3 linked regions of the Caenorhabditis elegans genome follow. The protein of the gene in region 2 interacts with the protein of the main gene of each other region in a pairwise test. Each region holds a gene or a part of one and is shown on either strand. Other genes may lie near its edges.

Region 1 (7,045 bases), 810 kb from region 2:
TGGTTGTTAGGTTTGAGTAAATAACAACCGCGTCGCAGGCCTACAGCCTGCTCTGCTTAGAATAGGATTAAAGCCAGCCCACAGTTTTCAACAGTATTCGGGCCTGCGGCCCTCAAACCTGGTTATTAGGCTTGAGTGAATAACATATCTGCTTAGAATAGGATCAAAGCCAGCCCACAGTTTTCAACAGTATTCGGGCCTGCGGCCCTCAAACCTGGTTATTAGGCTTGAGTGAATAACATATCTGCTTAGAATAGGATCAAAGCCAGCCCACAGTTTTCAAGAGTATTCGGGCCTGCGGCCCTCAAACCTGGTTATTAGGCTTGAGTTAATAACATATCTGCTTAGAATAGGATCAAAGCCAGCCCATAGTTTCCAAGAGTGTTCGGGCCTGCGGCCCTCAAACCTGGTTATTAGGTTCGAGAGAATAACATCTACTTTTTGGAAAATCGTGAACGCCTGTGGGCCCCCAGCCCTTCGGGAATGGGGATTGTTTTAGAAAACTGAAAATAATAAAAGCTTTCTAAATCAAACTTATCTAAGAGTAATCGCATATCAGGCCTCCGGCCTGCCTTGGTATAATGATTTAAGGTTGACTGCGTCTTCTAAGAGTAAGAGTGCCTGCGGCACTCAATCCAGCCAATCTGGGCTTAAAACAGTTGTAATCGCACAGCAGGCCTCCGGCCTGCAATGCCTGAAGTATATGTTCAAAGTGAACTTCTTCTTAGAGTTAAAGTGCCTTTCTATTGTTTTTTTTTGGAAAGAAAACATTTTCCAGCCACCCGCACGCATGCAGCCTTTTGTGAGGAGAGGCGGCCTGTGAGGAGTCATGCACTAAAACTTCAATCCGTCATAACTTTGCTCATAGTAGGAGTTTGAGAAAAATTAAATAATTGTTGAAATTGGCGTAAAAAGTAGAATAATACGGCGGTTATTATGTTTAAAAATAACAAAAATTGAAACATATCACCTTCTGGGAAGGCCTGGAAGCTCAAAACTTCCACAAATGTGCTGAAAGTTGTCAAGACCGACCAAATTTAGTTTGTCTACCTTGCTTCAATGAAAATTATCAAAATTAAAACATCAAATCGAAAGGATAGTTGAAAACTTGTCCAGGAACAGAGGAAAACTGGATTTCCATGTGCAAAAATTAAATAACCTATCTCTGCGAAAAATGATCGGATCAAGCTGTGATTTGAGATTTCATTTTATTTTATTCTATTAATTCTAAATTTAACATAAAAACCGGAACGATAGTGGAAAGTTTGTGAATTTTATGGAAAAATGTAAATTGTTTGAAAGAAGTGTTCATTTTTTCTATTTTTGAGACTATTATTTACCTTTTTTGAAACAAAAAATTATATTTTCCGCTTCCTCTCGATGTGATGAACATTTTTCCAAAAAAAAATTTGAAAAAGGAGCAAGACTAACGGAGATATGACCGAAACAATGGTGAAAATGTGGCCGAAAACACACCAAATATGAAAAGGGGAGGTGGGTGTGTGTGTGAGAAAAGGGGGGAGGTGCAGAAATTTTGGCAAAACTTTAATTATCGTTTTTAAAATAACGAATAGAGATATCACAATGAACTTAGATACAATGGATAGGCATTGAAAAGGAGAACTTAAGTTTCGAGTCTCAAACGTTTTGAACATAAACTCGAATTTTCCTTCAATTTAAAGTGGTTTTCGGCCAGTACTTCGGTGTGCGCAAAAACAAGAGGGTGTGGTTTTCCGCTTGTGGAGCCGACAGGATGCTCCAAAATCAACCCCCTTTTAGATGAACACACGTCGCTATACTTTGTGAATGTAGAGAAAAAAGAATTTCAAAAATCGGTTCCGTGAGAGCCGAGATATAAACGTTCAAAGTTGTATTACACATTTTTCGGACATTTTTTGAACATTTTTTGAACACCGAAAACGCGTGTGTGTGGCAAGATGGGGGTTTTAGGAAGGAGGCAGACAAAAAAATTTGCCGAACGGAAGAGCCTCTCGTCCCTAGTCTGAATCTCACTGTTTGAATTTTGTTTAGACATTTCCCAGAGTTTGGACATGAATCTAATGACGATTCAAGTATCGTTTTCATTTTTTTTGCAATTCAAGTTAAAACATAATAAAACCAATCACGAAAATGCCTCCTACGCATTTATATCAAATTATGACTCATTTGGTCTCCTTCAGTGGAAATTAGCTATTTAAAACGGTGATTAAAATGCTTGAAAGTAAACCAAAAAAAAGTCATAAATGTTTTGAAGTGTTTTTTTTTAATTTTTACGTCTGTTTTCTTTAAATAATTTTCCTTTAGACTTGTTTAGATTGCTAAAAATGGATTAGGCACATTTTCCAAAGTTCATGGCACAGCTATAGCGAATTGAAGTTACTAATTAGAGTTTTAATATTATTATTTATGAAACAAATTTTTTAAGAACACATATTTTCTGTGAAGAGTTCATTTTAAAATTAGCTATCCATTTGAATATTGTTTTACGATTGTTTGCCGAAAATTATTCCAAAAGTTCCGAGACTTTTAGTTTCTATAGTTCGGATTATTCTGAATTCTGAACTAAAATTTTCAAATGTACAACTTTTCATGTTAATTCAAAAAATGACTCGTTTGCGCTGCTTTTGTGACAGCTGCATATTTGAAACACTGATAAAACTACGTTTTTTATTTAAGTCTGCAAAAATTGAAGTTAAAAAAATAAATCTTTGTTTTGGAAAAAAATTCAGTATTAGTATTAAATATTTCGATTTTTAACTGTGTACTTTTTTCTTTTAAAACCCTCTTTTTTTAAAATTATTTTTTAAAATAATTTTTGTATTTAATAACAGATCAGGCAAACAAATTGTTAAGAATTAATAGAAATTAAACTTCTGAGCTGCAGTTTCAGATTTGTTTGAAGTTATTGAACAAAAATCAAAATTCCGAAACGTTAAGTTGACCTCTATTCAAAAAACAAACAAAACTCCCTCATCTAAACGTGTTGTTATGGTCAGTGCGCAGTGCGCAGGTGTGGATTTACGAGCGGCCGAGGGGTCGGGTCTCGACGGGAAACCCCTTTCGCCTGAGTCTCTGCCCCTGCATATCGCTACGTGGTTGACCGGCTGAGAGGGGGAAAGTGTTCACTGCATAGCATATTTCCGTTTTCATAAACCTTTTACGGTTTAAATTCATCAGTTTTAGCTCGTTTCGCTTCAAATTTCTCATTTTCGTCTCCTTTTTTTTTCGTTTTCTACTGCTCAGTTGTTCGTAAAGCGAGGAGAGACAATCGATGAGAAAAAGAGACACAGATGCGGCCCAAATGTTGCATTTCTCCTCTTTTCCGTGCCTTACACCCGTTCTCCTATCGATTTTTGTCCCTGCGTGGCAGTGACCACATCTCTTCCGTTATTTTGTCTCGTGTTCGTGTTCCTCTTGCGAGAAGTTTCATTTATAATTTTTTTAAAATAAAACTTGATTTAATTTTAGAAAAATTACAGAAAAATGTCGGACTTTGGTAATCCGTTGAAGAAATTCAAGCTTGTGTTCCTCGGGGAACAAAGTGGTGAGTATTTTGATTGAAATTCTACCGTAGATATTGAATTCTCAAGTTTCTAAATTTCAGTCGGAAAAACCTCCCTAATCACTCGCTTCATGTACGACTCCTTCGACAACACCTACCAGGCCACCATCGGAATCGACTTCCTGAGTAAGACCATGTACTTGGAGGACCGAACCGTAAGAAATCAGTTTTTGCGTAAAGAAATGATTTCAAAATCCGTAATTTCAGGTTCGTCTTCAACTTTGGGACACCGCTGGACAGGAACGTTTCCGCTCACTCATCCCATCCTACATCCGTGATTCTACAGTTGCTGTTGTGGTTTATGACATCACCAGTAAGTTTGGAAGAAGTTTTTCTGATGTTTCATGCTGTAAAGCTTCACACTGGATCCTCTGGGAGAAATTTTTTAACTATAGTAGTGTATATAGTAGTAACTATAATAACTATATTGGTTTAATACTACAATAGTCACTGGCAGCTCTAATGCGAAAAGCTTCTAGCAAGAAGAGAAGCTCAAAAAACAATTTATATTGATAGAAAAGTTAGAATCCAAAAGGAAACCATTATTTTTTGTTTAATCTTGATTTTGAACTAGGGTGGGCAATGAAAAAACTCTCGGTAACGACAAAAAAGCTTCATTTAACCCCAACTTTTTTGCAGACTCCAACTCTTTCCATCAAACTTCCAAGTGGATTGACGACGTCCGTACTGAGCGTGGAAGTGATGTAATCATCATGTTGGTCGGCAACAAGACCGATCTTTCCGATAAGAGGTTCGAATGAGAGTTTCCGCTAAAAATTCAATTAAATTGTGTAGTGGAAACGGCGGAATATGCATTTAAGTAGCTCCAGGCTGAAGTTTTAATCGGCATAACTTTCAGTATGAAATCTTGGCTAGCTTAAAACCTTCTCTAAAGATATTGTTTGGAGATAGGAAATAGCTTTAACTGAAATTACGTTAACATAAATTGGATCTGCACTAACTTGAACTAGCTTCAACTGGACCTACCTCAAGTTTATTTTTTATAATCAGAGCCTACGCTTTTCAAGCCCAAGCTCTCTATCTCCAGCTCATCCTTAAACACAATTCAGTTGAACCTACTACATAAGCTACATAAGCTGAATCTCCCATAATTTGATTTTTCCTGAGCAAAATCTACGTTACATTAGGCTAAAAATGCGCATTCTAAACAGAATTAGTTCAAGCTAAACTTACCTTGCGCTGGCCTGTTTCGAGCTGATCTTGCGTGGTCTTAGCTGAACTATCTTTTTCTGAAACCTGTTAACCTAACTAATAAACTCAATGTGTAATGCTCCAGGTCTATTAATTTGTAACTGACATAAGACTTACATATTTTGTTCAGGCAAGTCACCACCGACGAAGGAGAGAGAAAGGCCAAGGAGCTTAATGTGATGTTCATCGAGACTTCTGCCAAGGCCGGCTACAATGTGAAGCAGCTTTTCCGTCGTATCGCCGGAGCCCTACCAGGAATCATCAAGGACGACCCAGTGGAGCCACGTAAGTTTTAAAAACCTTTTTAACTTCAAAAAGCCATGATTTTTTTCAGCAAATGTGGTCACGATGGACCCAATCCGTCAGCGTCAAATTGTCACCGACGAGGGATCGTGCTGGTGCTAATCTCTTTGTATTCCTGAGCAAAATGTCAAAAAAAGGTTGTGATACTCCAATCTCAACGCATAATTTATTTAAAGCATCCTCCGCCCCCGTAATGGTTTTGTCATGAAGAAATATTAATTATCCCCCTTAAAAGCGCTATCGCCAGTAAGTTTTGATATCTTAAAATTCCCCAAAAACATTATCGATTTTTTCTGTGTGAATGAACTCTGAATGGCTTCTTCTCTATTAACTTATGCGATGGTAAACATGTGTAATTTTCTTTGTAACATAATAAATTATTATTATTTTAAATTTTTTGCTTCTTATTTTTGCTTGGCTAATTTTAAGTGTGATAATGATTTTTTTTTGTTTTCATTTTTACTCTCCCAACATCTCTGTTCTCGAATAAATCTTCTCCGCTTTTGGTGTTAGACTAGCAGCAGTAGATCACGAAAAATGATGGGGAGGTGGAAGAAAAGACGAAAAGCAACGCAGTTTTAATCAAATATTGACTTTGTGCTTTTCGGTTAAGAATGAGCTGCTATCCTGAAAAGCAACACAATGAGGAAGAGCAACATATTTGGCCCGGAAAGATATATGTGAAACGTTGAAGTGAAGTTGGTGGAAATAAAGACAAAAAATTCATAATGTTGTTCAAAAATCGTCGTTTGCACATTGTAGATTTTTGATGAAACTAGCCCATTTTGGAATAATTTCAGATGTTTAAAAAAAAAAAGTCTTTCAGTTAAATAGCTACAAGTTCCAGATTCCAATTCAGTTGTTTCAGTTCAAGATTGTTAAAATTTCTTAAAATTTGTTCCGCTCAATGCCGTGCGGAAAATATCGGTACGACGACACGAAAACGGGCAAAAGTACTTGTACATTTTAGTGACGTAAATTGTAGTTCATTTATGCAAAATTTATACGCAAAACTATACCCGTACGAAAGATACAACTCCGTGAAAGGTATCGTCACTTAACGGTTTTAATTTAAACCGTTATTTTTTCAAATTAAACTCATATGCCTACTATTTCAAAGAAATAACAAATTTAATTTATTTCAATCCTCCCTTTCAAAAATTTATCTACTCAGTGCTTGGTTAATTTGAGTGCTGATAGTTTCTGTATTTGTTAAATCATCCCATTTCAGGAGAACATCACAAAGCGTGTCCAGGTGTGTAGCGTCCGGAAGTTGAAGCCCCACAATGATCACCTGAAAAACTAGCAGATGGAAATTTCACATTTTTGTGTCTTACTTTTCCATTCTGTCGCAAAGTTTGTGAATTCATCAGTGATGCAGTGATTTCAGCAGGTGTTCTGAAAAAGTGAAAAAATTTTCAAGAAAACTTCATTTTGGAAACATACGCCCCAGAAGTGAAGATTACGGAGTTCATCTTTCCAAAGGATTTTAGCGGGTTGGCGCGGTTGACAGCCATATTGAATGCCCTAAAAGAAGCTAGAGTATTTGATTATGTTTTTTTTCCTTAATCTTGTGATGATAGCATATTTGTCAATAAATTCTGAATTGTGGGCGCTCAAATTTTAATTAATTGAAACTACCTTTGAGGCGGAGATCTAAGCTACTTTGAAAAACGTTTTCAAACCTTTGTACTGCACCACGCATGTTAACTCAATTTTTTAAAACGTTTTTTACACTTTAACTGTAATTTTTTTGCCAAAAACTCACGAAACAATACTCGGCTGATCCTTGAACGGTGTGAAGCTATCAACAATGCTGACAAACTCATCTTTGGTTTGCAAGTCACCAAAACTAAAATTTATTCTGTACGCTCACAACTCAAAATTGTAAATTTACTTGATGGGGTCCAGGTTCTTCACCAGTGTATTAAATCCCATTACTGATGTTCTTTCGAAATGATTCCACGT
Region 2 (7,208 bases):
TATGAGTAACCTATGCAGTGAAAAAGACTAATTTCGCAACTATTTGGTCTCACGTCCTGCTCAGGTAGGACAGTCAAAAATCAATAAGTGTCAACAAGCAGCGGCGAGAAAAGAAGACAAACTGTGATTCGATGTATACATACTTTTTCCCAACGTTTACCGCTCTGCGTCTTCAGTATTTTGTCAAAATTTTAAAGATACCTGACTTGGGAAAAAAAGGCGACCTACAATTTCTAATAAAAGTAAAAAGCCGCCCACCTCGTCGGTCGAGGCCCAATTAAAGATTTCGGTGACCCAGTAGCTATGTGTCCAACTACAAGAGAAGCTCTTCTCCTTCCGCCGCCCCTCCCTTTACAATGCATACATAAACGAGCAGCTGAGCACTACTGGCTCACAGTAAACTAGTACTACTACTACTACTACTACTACTACTACAACATCTACAACTAAGAATACTTCCCCACTCCCTAGTTTTGCCCCATTTTTTTTAGTTGTTAAACTATATTTAAATTTACAGGTGTGTGAATGTGTGTGTGGTGGTGGTGGTCGTCCGTATTATAACAATGCAAATCGTCGCGGCACTGTTGTGCTTTGCGTGTTTGCATTCAATTTTCTATCATGAATAGTAATGGAAAGGGAAATTGGGGGGAAAACTAGTACTAGAAAACAACTGCGAATTGGGTCTCGCCACGACAATATTGTTTACATTTTTCAGGGTGCGGCACATTTTTTCCTATAGTTTCGTTTGTAGAAATTATTTTTTGAAAACATTCAAATATTTCTCGTAAATACAGAATTTTGAATTTAAAAAATAATTCTGGTAGAAAATCGTGAATTGGTAGGCCTGAGTATAAATTAGGCTTAGAAAGTCTTCAGGCTTAGACACGTAGGCTTAAACTATTAGAACTCTGTTTTTAAGTATAGTCCTTATTAGTTTTAGATAAAATTAGAGGGGCCAATTTGAACGAAAACTAAAAAGAAAGTTCAAAAAAAGTTATTTCTATTAACGTAAGTGTCTCTGTTTTTAGAACTGCATATCAAAATTCAAAAGTCTATAAAACTTTTTTGAAAAACCGTTCTTACCGTAATCCGAACTCCGACGTAGCGCTGCAGTGGCTGCCATCGGCGGTGACAATTGGGACGGCGAGTTGCGTGGCGACGACGTTGAATTCGAGTTTGAACGCGAATGCCTGAAAAAAAAACATATTTCAATGATCGAACATATAGAAATTGGAAAACGCGAATGGAAAGAGTCATCAGCGTCATGAAAATGCCATTTTTTATTGTACAAAGTAATGCTGGCCAAGGAGAGCACTGATGAGTAAAAATGTCAATAGTCAAACCGGAAGTCTATCCAATCACTTTTTGGGTAGCACAGAAGAGAGAAAAGTCTTAAACTGAAAAAAAAAAACGCAAAGAAAAAAGCTACGGGGAGAAATCAAGTAGCCGCTGACACCACGCAAGGCGTCATCTTTAATTTTAATTAACAAAACCTCCTTCCACCCCATCATTGTCAACATTGCAATGGTCGAAAAACACAATACAAAATGAAATAAAAATGCAAAGAGCTGTTCCTATAAAGTTCCACGAAGAACGGAATACTAACGGAATATTTCAAATTTCAAAAGGTGGGCGAGCCATCTCTTGTTGTGTCATTCTTCCAGCTTTGAATGCTTTCCTTATCAGTTTTAATACTAGCCACCGCCTCTGCATAGTGCGAGATAACAAAACAGTTCTCTTGTAAGGGACACGTGGATGGGGAATACTTTTAATATTAATTGAGATTTGAGAAAAAACATAAAGTTTGACTGAAAATGATGCACTGAAAATTATTCAGAATACACTCAAAACTTTCTACATTGTTTAAAACAAAAATAATCATAACTGTCGGAAAAAATGATAATTGTTATTTTTTCAGAAAAAAAACTGTTCTAGTTTATAATTTTGAATTCAACATTGTAGATCTACACAAATTTCTAAATTTCATATTCAGTTCAATTTTAAATCAACCAAAATTGAAAAATACAAAAAAAAACATTTATGTGAATTTTTTGGAGACTACACCTACTGTGCTAAAATGGCCAAATATCACAGTAAAACTTTTTTAATGTTTTTTTTTTCAAATTTTTAGTCAAAAAGTTACGATTACTCAGTCACTCATAATTTAAGCCGTCAAAAAAAACAAATGTTTTTTTTCTACAAATTGTATGTATAAAATTTCGTTAATTTGATGTTGCCAAAACTTCAAGTGAAAAAATTTTTTTTTTTTTAAATTTTGTAACTAAACTTAAAAACTTTCAGCTAAACTTCCTATTTAAAATCATTTCTCAATTACCTAAAAACTCCAAACTAAAGAAAGGCTTTCGTAACCAAATCCAATTGTAATATTAAAAAAGTCGTCAGTAGTCATCGAGACGTGTAATTGACAGGAACGGATGGCGGCGGTCAGTTTTGAGGTGAGATCAAGCGATCTGAGGACAAAAAGGGCGAAGAAAAAAGGTCGGGGTCAGATATTGCCAAACACGCACGCAATCAATAAAAAGGATATAAATAAGGAAGAAGAGGATAGGTGTGGTGTGTGTGGACCTTCCTGTGCACTGTTGCGTAGTGGTGGCGGTGTTCCCTCCTCTATCTCTCTCTCTCCCTGTGTTCTTCTGTAGTATATCCCACACGTAGAAGACGTCGCGTGGAAATGGTGAGAGAGTGGAGGGTGGCAGAGAAAACGAGATGTATACAGGTTACCCGACCGCTTTAATACAAAACATGTTTTCCTGTGTGTTGCATGCCAATGCTGATACAATTGATGATGCGAGTTAGCAGTCGCAATTGTGATGAATACCGTCCTATTGATGGTAAAATTTAAGCTATCATAGTTTGGAACGATGATGTTTTTGGAGTGGGTCTTGCCGCGATTTCTACATCTATCTGAGTACAAAATGAAAATTTATGAAGTTTTACCTTCTGAAGCGCACAGAGAAAAGGGTTTGTACAAAGTTTCACGAGTTCCTGAGGACACGATAGTATATGGTAGCTCAAAGAAAACAGGATAAAATCTAAACCTAGAGGAATTTCTTTTGAAAATGTGGCAAATTTTACAACTTGTTAACACTATTCCGATTTCCAAAAAATCAAAACTCCGGAAAATGAAAAGTTCAGGTCTCAGTGAAACTTGTCTTATTATTCTACAAAGCCAATGTGCAAAAACTATTACTTTGCCAGTTTGTACCTTATTTCCAGTATAGAAAAACGAAATAGTAAAAGCAGCCGACATTGATCAAAGTTTGCGATGTCTTATGCTGTTAGCGTTTTTCAAATTAGCCAGAGGGGCAGGATAGTTCCTTCGGTACGCAAGCAATCTGGAGGCCACGAGTTCAAGTCCGGCCTCACCCCTAGGTACATCCAGCCACTATTGGAGTAATCCACAACTGGATTATCGGCCACAGTCCCCGGCTAGGACGTGGCTTAAATTATAGCCCAGCGGGAGCACCACCGGGCAGTCCCAGATCCGCAGTGCATAGCGCATGAAGAACGGATCGACCTTTTCTTTCAATTTATAATACATAGCAATATTGCTTACACCTTCCCCTGCATCTCAACTCGAACCAACTGTACACGACTCATCAAACTGTTATCAAACCCCACCACCACGTTTCGAGGATTTACACAAAGCCTTGACCTATTTATCGCTGACTGACCCCTCGGTCCCGTATATTTGCTCGTGTTGTCACGTTCGGAGCAGCTAGCCCCTGCAGTAAACTGCAAGGGAAAAAAACCAACCACGGTGAGTTCAACACGAGCAAACAGAACGTTGTCGTCCCTAACTTTGTGCGCGCGCTCGAAGATCAGTTCCTTGTTCCATTCTCAATCTCGGGAAAACTCGTTGCCAACATGCCAATCACACAATTTCCTGGTTTGGTCAAGGTTTCGGACACACGGCCAACGGAATGCCATCATGCTTGTGTACCTAGTGTTCCAAAATTAGATTCGTCCCCCCCCCCACTCCTCCTGTATGCATACAGGAAAACGCCGGTTTTCCGTGGCGCCGCGCCAGGATATTTTTGGAAACTGTCGATGACCAATCGGAGGAGAAGAACAAAAATGGCGCCGCGCACGGACCGAAACGGGTGAAGAGCTTTGTCTAGAGGAAAAAAAGAATGAAGAGAAGAGTTGGAACAATGATTTTTGATTAAAAGCCAGTCAAAAATTAATTGGCAAGAGAAAAGGCTAATCTATTGATGGATAGTAGGCCAAGTTCAGTTGATCAAATTAAAACTGGTAAATAAACATCAAACTCAAATCAAACATTGATGGAAAGCACCCTATAGATTACTTGAATCAAAGTCTTTGCACAGAAATAGGAAAAATGTATTAAATTTGACGTAGAGGATTAAAACGACCAATAATACAAAGTTTCTAAAGCACAAGAGGAGGTACAGTTCGATCAGTTAAAGTTGGAAGGCTATTAGAAAGATAGTTGAGTACTAGTAGATTAAGCACAATTGGGAACTTGAAAAAAATGAGTCTCAAATTTTGAATTGAGAAATGTTCTGACCATTTCAAAAATATAATTTCTAAAACCTCCAATTTTAAAAATGATCCCAAAATTCTTACCATAATCGCTCCCAGTCTAGATTGAAGAAGCTAGCAGTTTCTTGAAAAAACGACGTAGACTGATGATGTGGAAACACTGATGGCGTTCCGACAAGAGCCGGCGAGGGCACCATCGTGAATATGTAGAGTTACGGAATAAAGTGAAATATTTTGATGTTGGTAGCTGTTTTTTTTCTATTGTTGTTGTTGTTGGTCGTATGGGTGTTGATCGAGAGATAATCAGTCGAAAAGTGGCGAACAATCCCGAGTTGAGCTCAGCGGGGGAGGGGGAAAAATTTTGAGCCGAGAGCCGTGTTTTGCGCGTCCGTCGCCACTATTGAGTCTATATGGTCGTAGCGAGGAGGACGCGAAACAGCATACAGTCGAAAAGAGAACGATAGGCGAAGGGAGCGACGCGAGGCAAGAGACCGGGCGGCGATCGGGCCGTGCGCACAGTCCGAAGTAGGCGTGACACAACCAAACCGCGAGTCTCTGAATCCATCGCTTCTTCTTCCCACAGAAATGGAGCAAATATGGTCATGTGCTTTAGCTTCTTCAAGACATACTATTAGTTTTTCAACACGTCTTGGTTTCCGCGCTGGGTTTTGCTCTCCGGAGGGAAACACAAGGCGCGCGGGAGTGAGGGGAGGGACGAGATTTACGGATTGGAGCAGCGTCCACACTGATGTCATTATTTATTTATACGGTTATATAATACTATTTGTGAAAGCCAAAACAGAGGTGCAACGTGTGGCTAGTGGACTTTAATTCTATCTACTTTCAGAACGAGATTACATCAAATATCAAAACTTTGCTGGACTTCTTACTGTATAAGCTGGAAAAAAGTTATCCAATAGCTCGGTCCTATACGGTCCTAATTTTGTTGAAAATCATTTTCACAGACCTTCATCAGAAAACGTAGTTTTTCTACCGTACTATACCGTAATCCATTTTATTTATAGAAAAATTCCAATTTTTTCATATCTCGAGATCTTTTACTACGATTTTACCCATGACGAATCAATTTTCCACAACCCGACAAAAAAAATTATCGAAACCCAATCTTCTCTAATTTTAGAAAATTTCACATTTCCGCCGACGGACACTAACTGACTGAGAACCCGAGTAATTCGAGGCCCTGCATCTTATCGGTTTTGTTTTTATTTGTATACCAAATGACTAACTGAAAAGTGGCACAACGAGCTGGCCTGTTTGATGAGGAGATTTTGATATTAGTAGGTCGCAGAGGCGAACAAAAAAAAAGCAAAAACTTTCGCCTGCAAATATTTGTGGTGGTGGTGTTGATACCCTGACACCGAAATATGAATCAGAATCGAATGGGACGGAAGAATAGAGAAGAGTGGAATGGCGAACAAAATAGCAGAATGAATAGTTACTGGAGGTATGATATTACTGTACGTTCAACTAGATAAATCATATATATATATATAATGATAAAATTTCAGAATGTTTCAGAGTAAAATGTGCGACTTAAATGTAAAAATTTTCAGTAGTTTTTAAATTTTCCGGAAGAATCAAAAGTATCGGAGTAAGCTCGAAAATTTAAGGGGTTTCAAGGATAAAATATGAAAATATGGTTTTCTCCAAATTTTGTATCCACTACTGATAAAACACTACCGTACCAACTACCGTAACCTAAAAAAGAACCGCACAGTCAATTCATAAATAATATGTCAAAAGTTTGTCGGAAAACAGAAAACAGAAAATAAAAACAAAACCTTTAAAAAGTAAAAATTGAAATGAAAACAAACAGAGAGAGTGACTAATGAGGGAAACGGAATCAAAAAATGGTGGTCCGTTGCGACGAGAGAGTGAGAGACGGAAAAGAAGAGAGGGGAGAGAACGCGCGGGGGGCGCCTCCAACACAAGATCAAAAGAGGGGGGAGGTGTGCAATCGAACAGTATGCAAGTCTAGAATTGGTAAATGTGAGAGTAAAAAAGAGACTTTGAAATATAAGTAAGTGTATCAAGTATTTATTTTTGTAGAATAATATGAAAATTGAAATTTAACAATTGAAATTGAAATGAAGTCCGCGGAGATTTTCGTTATGATTTATTAGCCATCAAAACATGAAAAGAGGAATAACATGGAAAGTTCACATTTCAAAAAGGATCTATATTTTTTGCGGGTTTTGGGGGAAAAATTCCAGAATTTCTAAACATATTAAATCTCAAAAAAATAATTTTTTAAAAAATGTTAAAAGAAACTTAATTTATATGTGGGTCTTTTTGAGGTGTTTATCATTTTTCTTAGTACTAATATAATATAAAAATGAAACAGCAAGGAAATATCCATGAAAATGTTACATCTAGCGTTTAAAAACTTTTTAAAAAAGAAAATTTTGTGGTCTTCTTCAAGCCTAAAACTGGCCTATTTCTGTTTTGAAGCATAAAACAAACTATTGATAAAAAAAAAACAACAAATCAAGTGTGTTGTCAAAAATATCTTGATTAGTTGTTTTTTTTTGAAATCAAAAGATCAACGAAATTGTTTTGAAATTTAAGAAACAAAAATTTTTTATACAAATTTTATTACGGTTAATGGAAATTTAAGATTTAATATTTTTTTAAATAAAGTTAAAAACCTCAAAGTCTGT
Region 3 (6,385 bases), on a different chromosome or scaffold from region 2:
TTTTGAGCCAAATTTGGCCAAATAGGCATTAAATGCACTCCAGATGACTAAAAACACGTGAAAAAAGCTATTAAAATTAGGTAAATAAGACAAAAACAGAAAAAAAAGAACTTGAAGCGAAACTGGAGCCCATTTTTGGAGACAATTCTCATTACAAAATTGGTTTTTTGGGCACATTTTTTAGTCTTTCTAGTTATTTCGAACATTTTCCGAAGAATTCCCATAAAACTTTGAAGCTTTTCCATGTAAGCCCCTACCAATTTCACGTGGTACTGCCTTTCAGCAAGAGCTTTACTGATAACTCGTTCTCCTTGAACTCGGAACATTTTCGACGGTGTCGCCGCCGCCGGATTTATAATTTTCATCGCCTTCTTCTCCTTATCCCCATCGTCGATAGACCCATCGGTATCCATTGGCTTGCGTGTTCGGACACGTCGCTGTTTGCTGGGCCTGGAAAATTTCGATTTTAAAGATTTTTTAAATAAAAAATCCCCCACAAATTCATTTCCAAATCCGGTGGTTGCCCATCCATAAACCCGTCGTCCTCCTCCTCATCATCACCGAACGGGTCCATTTGTATGCGATCCTCGTCTCGATATCGGGAAAGGTTCAGAATTGGCGGCTCATCCTCTACGATGACCTCCGTCTCTGCGTGGAGCATCGAGTCGTCGCCGGCGAAGATGGGCTCTCCGAGCTCTCCGGCGGTGAGCTCCTCCAAATGTGGCGCTGGCTTTCTCTTTTTCGCGTTTCGAACCGTACTTTCCTCCGTCCTGGAGCGTTTTGGAGCTGCGATCGAGCTTGTTGATGCAGAGGCGAGCGCTTCTTCCTTTGGGATGCCCAACTCGTAGTCTTCATTGTTGTAGAGCACGGATTTCCGAGCATTTCGACGTGGACGAGATTTTGTGGCTGGATCCTGGGGCTCTGCGGCAGGCTCTGGATTTTGCTGGGGCTCTTCGGCCGGCTCTGGATTTTGCTGGGGCTCTGTTGGATTTTGCACAAGCTCTTGATCAACTTCTTCCTGATTTTCTGCCAATTCTCCCGAATTTTCAGGATTCTCGGACATTTTTCTGCAATTTAATAATTGAAAATAAGAATAATTAACGGGGTGGAAAATTAAAAATTAAACAAGCATTAAAATAAATTTGAAAAAGTCCTGATTTGTAGTCCGCAACGCACGCACGCAAGCATACACCAGAACAACTAAGAGAGACGGGAGGAGAGATGGAGAATTTGAAAGAGACGGCGAGGCGACGAGAGAGCCGGAGGATTGAGGAAGGACAAACACACAGATGTGGGGTCTTGCAGCGCTTTCTCTGCGTCTCTTTTTTCGACATTTTTCAATGGGAAATTTTTTTTTGGAGTTTTTCTTTTTTTTTATCGGAAAACTTCAAAAAATTCAAATGGAAACGCTGTACGGACAATGCATAGAATAACACGCAAAAATGCACATTTTTAGGCCTTAGGTTACTGTAGTGGTCTCGGCGCGAAAATGCGGATTTTCATTTTGAATTCAAAATAAAAAAACTGGACGTGATTTGGTACAAGCGTTTAGTGAAAATGTTTCACAAAATAGGAGATCAATTAGATATATTTATTTATTCATGGAAAATGACTATTTGGAAAAAAATTGCGAAATAAATAAAACTCGATTAAAAACAATGTGCATATGTCTTCGTTGCTTTCTTGGCGAGGGTTTCTCGGTATCGAGTTCTACAAGAGACACACATTACGAATAACCAAAATAGTTTAGGTAATATACACATTGGGTGGGGGTGGGCCAGAATAATATTGAATAAGGGTGAAGAAAAAATATTCAAAATACGTCGCTGAAGTTGGCATACAATCTTGAGTCGGATAAATGGTAAGAAAGCAGCACCACTCAACTCAGATCACAATCTTCTGAAGAAAAAGGGACGAATGTATAGGTTCGGAGGGGGGGGAGGGGGAAGGGGTGGGGATGGAGGCAATTACAAATAAATCTGAAAGAAAGTTACAAATACTACACACCAAAACGGTGAAGACTTGCAAACGCAGTGCTTGCAAGAATTCGATAAAACTCGCGGATGTTAAGAGCGAATCATTTGGATTTCGGGGGCAGTAAATTAAATGGACAAGGCATTTCGAAAAATACACACGTTAGACTGAAAAAAAAAAACACGATGTGATTTATGGGATGCAACACTGCTTCTTTGGTGGGTCGGACGCTGGCGAAGGAATGATTGTACCACTGCCACCGCCATATCCTTGTCTGTCAGTTCCTACATGCTTGTTGGATACTGATTTGTAGATTTCCGTCAGGATATTAGTGAAAGCTGCTTCAACGTTGGTGCTGTCGAGGGCAGATGTTTCTGAAAAAAAAAAATATATAAACGCAATAGATTAGTTTAACTTACCAATAAACGACAATTGATTTCTTTCGGCGTAGATCTTGGCCTCGTCTGTTGGAACTGCACGCAAATGGCGCAAGTCGCTCTTGTTTCCGACCAACATAATCACAATGTTCTGATCGGCGTGATCACGAAGCTCCTTCAACCATCGCTCAACATTCTCGTACGTCACATGCTTAGCGATGTCGTAGACTAGGAGAGCTCCGACAGCCCCACGATAGTAAGCGGATGTGATGGCACGGTAACGTTCCTGTCCAGCAGTATCCCAAATTTGAGCCTTCACTGTCTTGCCTTCTACCTACAAAAATAATAATTTGAATCATAAGTGTATTCTAATGAAGTTCCTCACCGAGATGCTTCTCGTGGCAAACTCGACTCCGATTGTTGATTTTGATTCCAAGTTGAACTCATTTCTTGTGAAACGAGACAGGAGATTCGACTTTCCGACGCCTGAGTCTCCAATCAGAACAACTGAAACAATTTTTCGTTTGGGAATTGAAAAATGAAAAACAAAATTACCCTTGAACAAGTAGTCGTATTCATCGTCACGAGAGCCCATCTTTACTGCTGAGCTGTAAAATGATAAAGCTTGTTTGAAAGTTGTGTATATATTGGGACGATTGTAAAAAAGAAAAAGGGCATTGGTCACATGATTCATCAGCCGGGCGCAATGTTTTGTTGTAAAATCGATATTAAAAGAACGAGACACTGTTTTATCGGCGGAGAATATTTTTATGTTCTGTTCCCGACACAAACGCGGAGTCAGGAACCGGTTGTCTATCTCGACGGGGATTGAAAAAATATAAGTGAACTTGATTTAAGAATGATTCAAAGTATATGGAGTTGGGAGTTTTATATTGAATTTTATCAATATATGAGGGTGGTTAGTCAGAAGAAAAATGTGAAAATGTATATAGAAGTGTGTTATGAAAGAGTATTTGAGGCTTATCATACCCGAAAAAGGGAAGGTGAGCGGCCGAACTTTGTTTGTCGACACGATTTCGAAATAGTTGAACAGGATATTTTTAACAAGGGAAAGCTTTCTCTGGGTGTTCTTTTTTGATAATTTCAGCTAAAAATTGAAAAAAATAATTAGTTTTATGGCTGTGAACATCCAGAATAAGCTTTTCCGAACGCGAAATGCGTGTGAAACCCATAAAATCGAACGTAAAACAGGTCAGGCGCACCGGCGCAGCCACGTCGGTCTGAGGGTACGCGACGCTAGCCGCAGCGCAAGCCTCCTCGGGTCTCGGCACGACAACTACCGTACCCCTTTCGCAGCGGCGCAACGGAATCTCAATTTTACATTTTTTTCTTTTTGGCCTAACGAATTTTTCCGTTTTTTCAGAGCATTTTTCATTGATTTTCTTAAATTTTCATCAGAATAAATTTTAGAACTAATTTCCCGTAATTCTGATACGCGTTTTTTATAGTTTTCGTGAAGAAAATGCTGAACATTCGAAAAATACTGAAATAATTTAGTTTTGAAAACTTGCTCCTCTGTTTCAATATCTTATAATTTTCTTTTCTGATTAATATTTTGATTTTCCAGGTAATCAATCGCCTATAATGGCTCCAACGTAAGTTTTCTTTATAAATTTATATTAGATTGAAATTTACTTTTAGGCCTGACTTTCAAATACTTCAATTTTGATATTAATTCTTGGTTTTTCAGAAAGAAAGTGCCACAGGTTCCAGAAACTGTGCTCAAGCGCAGAAAGCAGAGAGCCGATGCCCGCACCAAGGCTGCTCAACACAAGGTGACCGTCGCCGCTGTAAGTTTATTTAACTGTCAGAAAACAGAAAATGCTCTTCAAAAGCACTGGTTTTAGGATCCACTATTATCCAAGCCAGCCGTCAAAACTGAGCTATAAGAATTATCTTGTTTTTGGGTGAGGTGTATTCAATTCAGAATGCGTCTCAATAACACGATGACAATTCGAAATTTTAAAGTTTAAATTTTCTTTTAGGTGTTTGAAAATTAATTTGAACTAATCCTGCATTAAAAATAAAATTTTTTACAGAAGAACAAGGAGAAGAAGACCCAATACTTCAAGCGTGCTGAGAAATACGTCCAGGAGTACAGAAACGCCCAAAAGGAAGGACTCAGACTCAAGCGCGAGGCTGAGGCCAAGGGAGACTTCTACGTTCCAGCTGAGCACAAGGTCGCCTTCGTCGTCAGAATTCGCGGTATCAACCAGCTTCATCCAAAGCCAAGAAAGGTGAAATTGTGTTAATGAGTTTTTTAATAACCATTCTTTGTTTTCAGGCTCTCCAGATCCTCCGTCTTCGTCAGATCAACAACGGAGTGTTCGTCAAGCTGAACAAGGCTACTCTTCCACTTCTCCGTATCATCGAGCCATACGTAGCTTGGGGTTATCCAAACAACAAGACCATCCACGATCTCCTCTACAAGCGCGGATACGCCAAGGTTGACGGAAACCGTGTCCCAATCACCGACAACACCATCGTCGAGCAGAGCCTCGGTAATTTGAAAACTTATGCTTTTTAATTCTTATTTAATTGTTTTCAGGAAAGTTCAACATCATCTGTCTTGAGGATTTGGCCCACGAGATCGCCACCGTCGGACCACACTTCAAGGAGGCCACCAACTTCTTGTGGCCCTTCAAGCTCAACAACCCAACTGGAGGATGGACCAAGAAGACCAACCACTTCGTTGAAGGAGGAGACTTCGGAAACAGAGAAGATCAAATCAACAACCTTCTCCGAAAAATGGTCTAACTTGTTTGTTGTTCATACCTTCCTTCCGGATAAATCGTTATTGTTTGACGTTGTTTAATTATGTGCATAAATAATCATGAAACGTGATCGTCTTGGCTCGACTCATCTCGCATTTCATGAAGCGTCTCATCATTCAGATGAATCGTAAAACCGCTTTGCTGACTACTCTCCCGAGAACAGTCACTGTTCCCTACTATGCTCCATCCTGTTTATTTCTAGAAACTTTTCTTCGGAGCAAGCTAATTCCCTATGAAGTGAGAGCATTTAGGTTAATAAACATAGTCCAGATTTAAATCCAGACAACGCAATGTTCTCTCTACAATGTACTCCCTCGTGAGCACCTATACCCATTGATTGATGTCGATGGGTATTTCTTCAAAAATTTGATGGAAGGACTTGATTATCTGCTCGCCAAATATGGAAAAGTTGGCTTAAAACTAGAATTTTAGAAAAAGCTTAAATATTCTTCCAGTCTCTGGACTCGGGCCTGACTCCAAAAGAGCGAGCACAGGCTCTCGCATTGAGCGCTTTGCTCGACGAGCTTACTTGGATGCTCGCCTACTCGCGAGGCCAAGATTTCACGTGGCTCCGCGATGATCGTAAGATTATCGAAGACTTCGGGCTTGTTCAGCTCTATTTTTGGAGGAATTGGATTGTACCGCAGATGCAGAAACGGGTAGATTATTGATATTTTATGGAAAAATCGATAAAATATTGATTTTTTACTGAAAAAATTGATCAAAAATCGATTTTTTTTTCCTCGGAAAATCTGTAAATTAGTAGTTTTTTGTTGAAACAATCGATAAAATTCTGGTTTTTCAGAAGCAAAATCGATATATTAGGCCAAAATCACCAAAAATTATCAATTTTCCTATAAAATTTACCATTTTTGGCTAGATTATCGATTTTTAAGGCAAGAAAGTCGATATTTCACAATTTTTTATTGATTTTTTTGGCTTTCCAGCGCGCAAACTGTGCCAAGATCTAAATTTTCCGAAATTTTCATTTCAGACACGCCGCCGAGTGCGAGGCTACGGAATATCCGGAAAATCGGCGAGAAAGGAGGTCGCCTGCCGAACTGAAGCAATGTTGGAGGCATTGGCCTCACTTTTGGCCTCGAATAAATACTTTTTCGATGTCAATGAACCGTCTTGGGTAGGTGGCAGCCAAAAAACTCGGCCAAAACTCGGCCTTTCAGCTCGACTGCAAGGCGTTCGCCGTGCTGGCTCAATTCAAATATACACCACTGCAGAACG

The links. The genes of interacting proteins can lie anywhere in the genome.
Region 1: the proteins of eat-17 (region 2) and rab-6.2 interact in a two-hybrid assay, tested with the Caenorhabditis elegans proteins (one study listed by BioGRID).
Region 3: the proteins of eat-17 (region 2) and rab-11.1 interact in a two-hybrid assay, tested with the Caenorhabditis elegans proteins (one study listed by BioGRID).

Annotation. Positions count from the first base shown.
Region 1 is NC_003284.9:17,218,996-17,226,040, forward strand, and holds rab-6.2 (Ras-related protein rab-6.2), read left to right. Parts: upstream 1-3,479; 5' UTR 3,480-3,483; coding exon 3,484-3,544; intron 3,545-3,604; coding exon 3,605-3,717; intron 3,718-3,769; coding exon 3,770-3,875; intron 3,876-4,201; coding exon 4,202-4,313; intron 4,314-4,904; coding exon 4,905-5,059; intron 5,060-5,108; coding exon 5,109-5,179; 3' UTR 5,180-5,470; downstream 5,471-7,045. Other genes in the region: T25G12.6 (VWFA domain-containing protein), read right to left, coding at 6,240-6,371, 6,415-6,475, 6,524-6,604, 6,846-6,929, 6,975-7,045. UniProt on the Caenorhabditis elegans protein: The small GTPases Rab are key regulators of intracellular membrane trafficking, from the formation of transport vesicles to their fusion with membranes.
Region 2 is NC_003284.9:16,412,117-16,419,324, forward strand, and holds the start of eat-17 (Rab GTPase-activating protein eat-17), read right to left. Parts: upstream 4,725-7,208; coding exon 4,612-4,724; intron 1,191-4,611; coding exon 1,084-1,190; intron 1-1,083. UniProt on the Caenorhabditis elegans protein: Rab GTPase activating protein for the small GTPase rab-6.2. Required for grinder formation, which is the feeding organ that breaks down food.
Region 3 is NC_003279.8:107,099-113,483, forward strand, and holds rab-11.1 (Ras-related protein rab-11.1), read right to left. Parts: upstream 2,960-6,385; 5' UTR 2,947-2,959; coding exon 2,907-2,946; intron 2,859-2,906; coding exon 2,737-2,858; intron 2,686-2,736; coding exon 2,394-2,685; intron 2,349-2,393; coding exon 2,167-2,348; 3' UTR 1,576-2,166; downstream 1-1,575. Other genes in the region: Y48G1C.8 (DUF7747 domain-containing protein), read right to left, coding at 258-450, 498-1,063; rpl-7 (Large ribosomal subunit protein uL30), read left to right, coding at 3,957-3,967, 4,063-4,162, 4,412-4,609, 4,657-4,873, 4,921-5,129; F53G12.9 (GST_C_6 domain-containing protein), read left to right, coding at 5,267-5,383, 5,429-5,554, 5,602-5,805, 6,141-6,284, 6,328-6,385. UniProt on the Caenorhabditis elegans protein: The small GTPases Rab are key regulators of intracellular membrane trafficking, from the formation of transport vesicles to their fusion with membranes.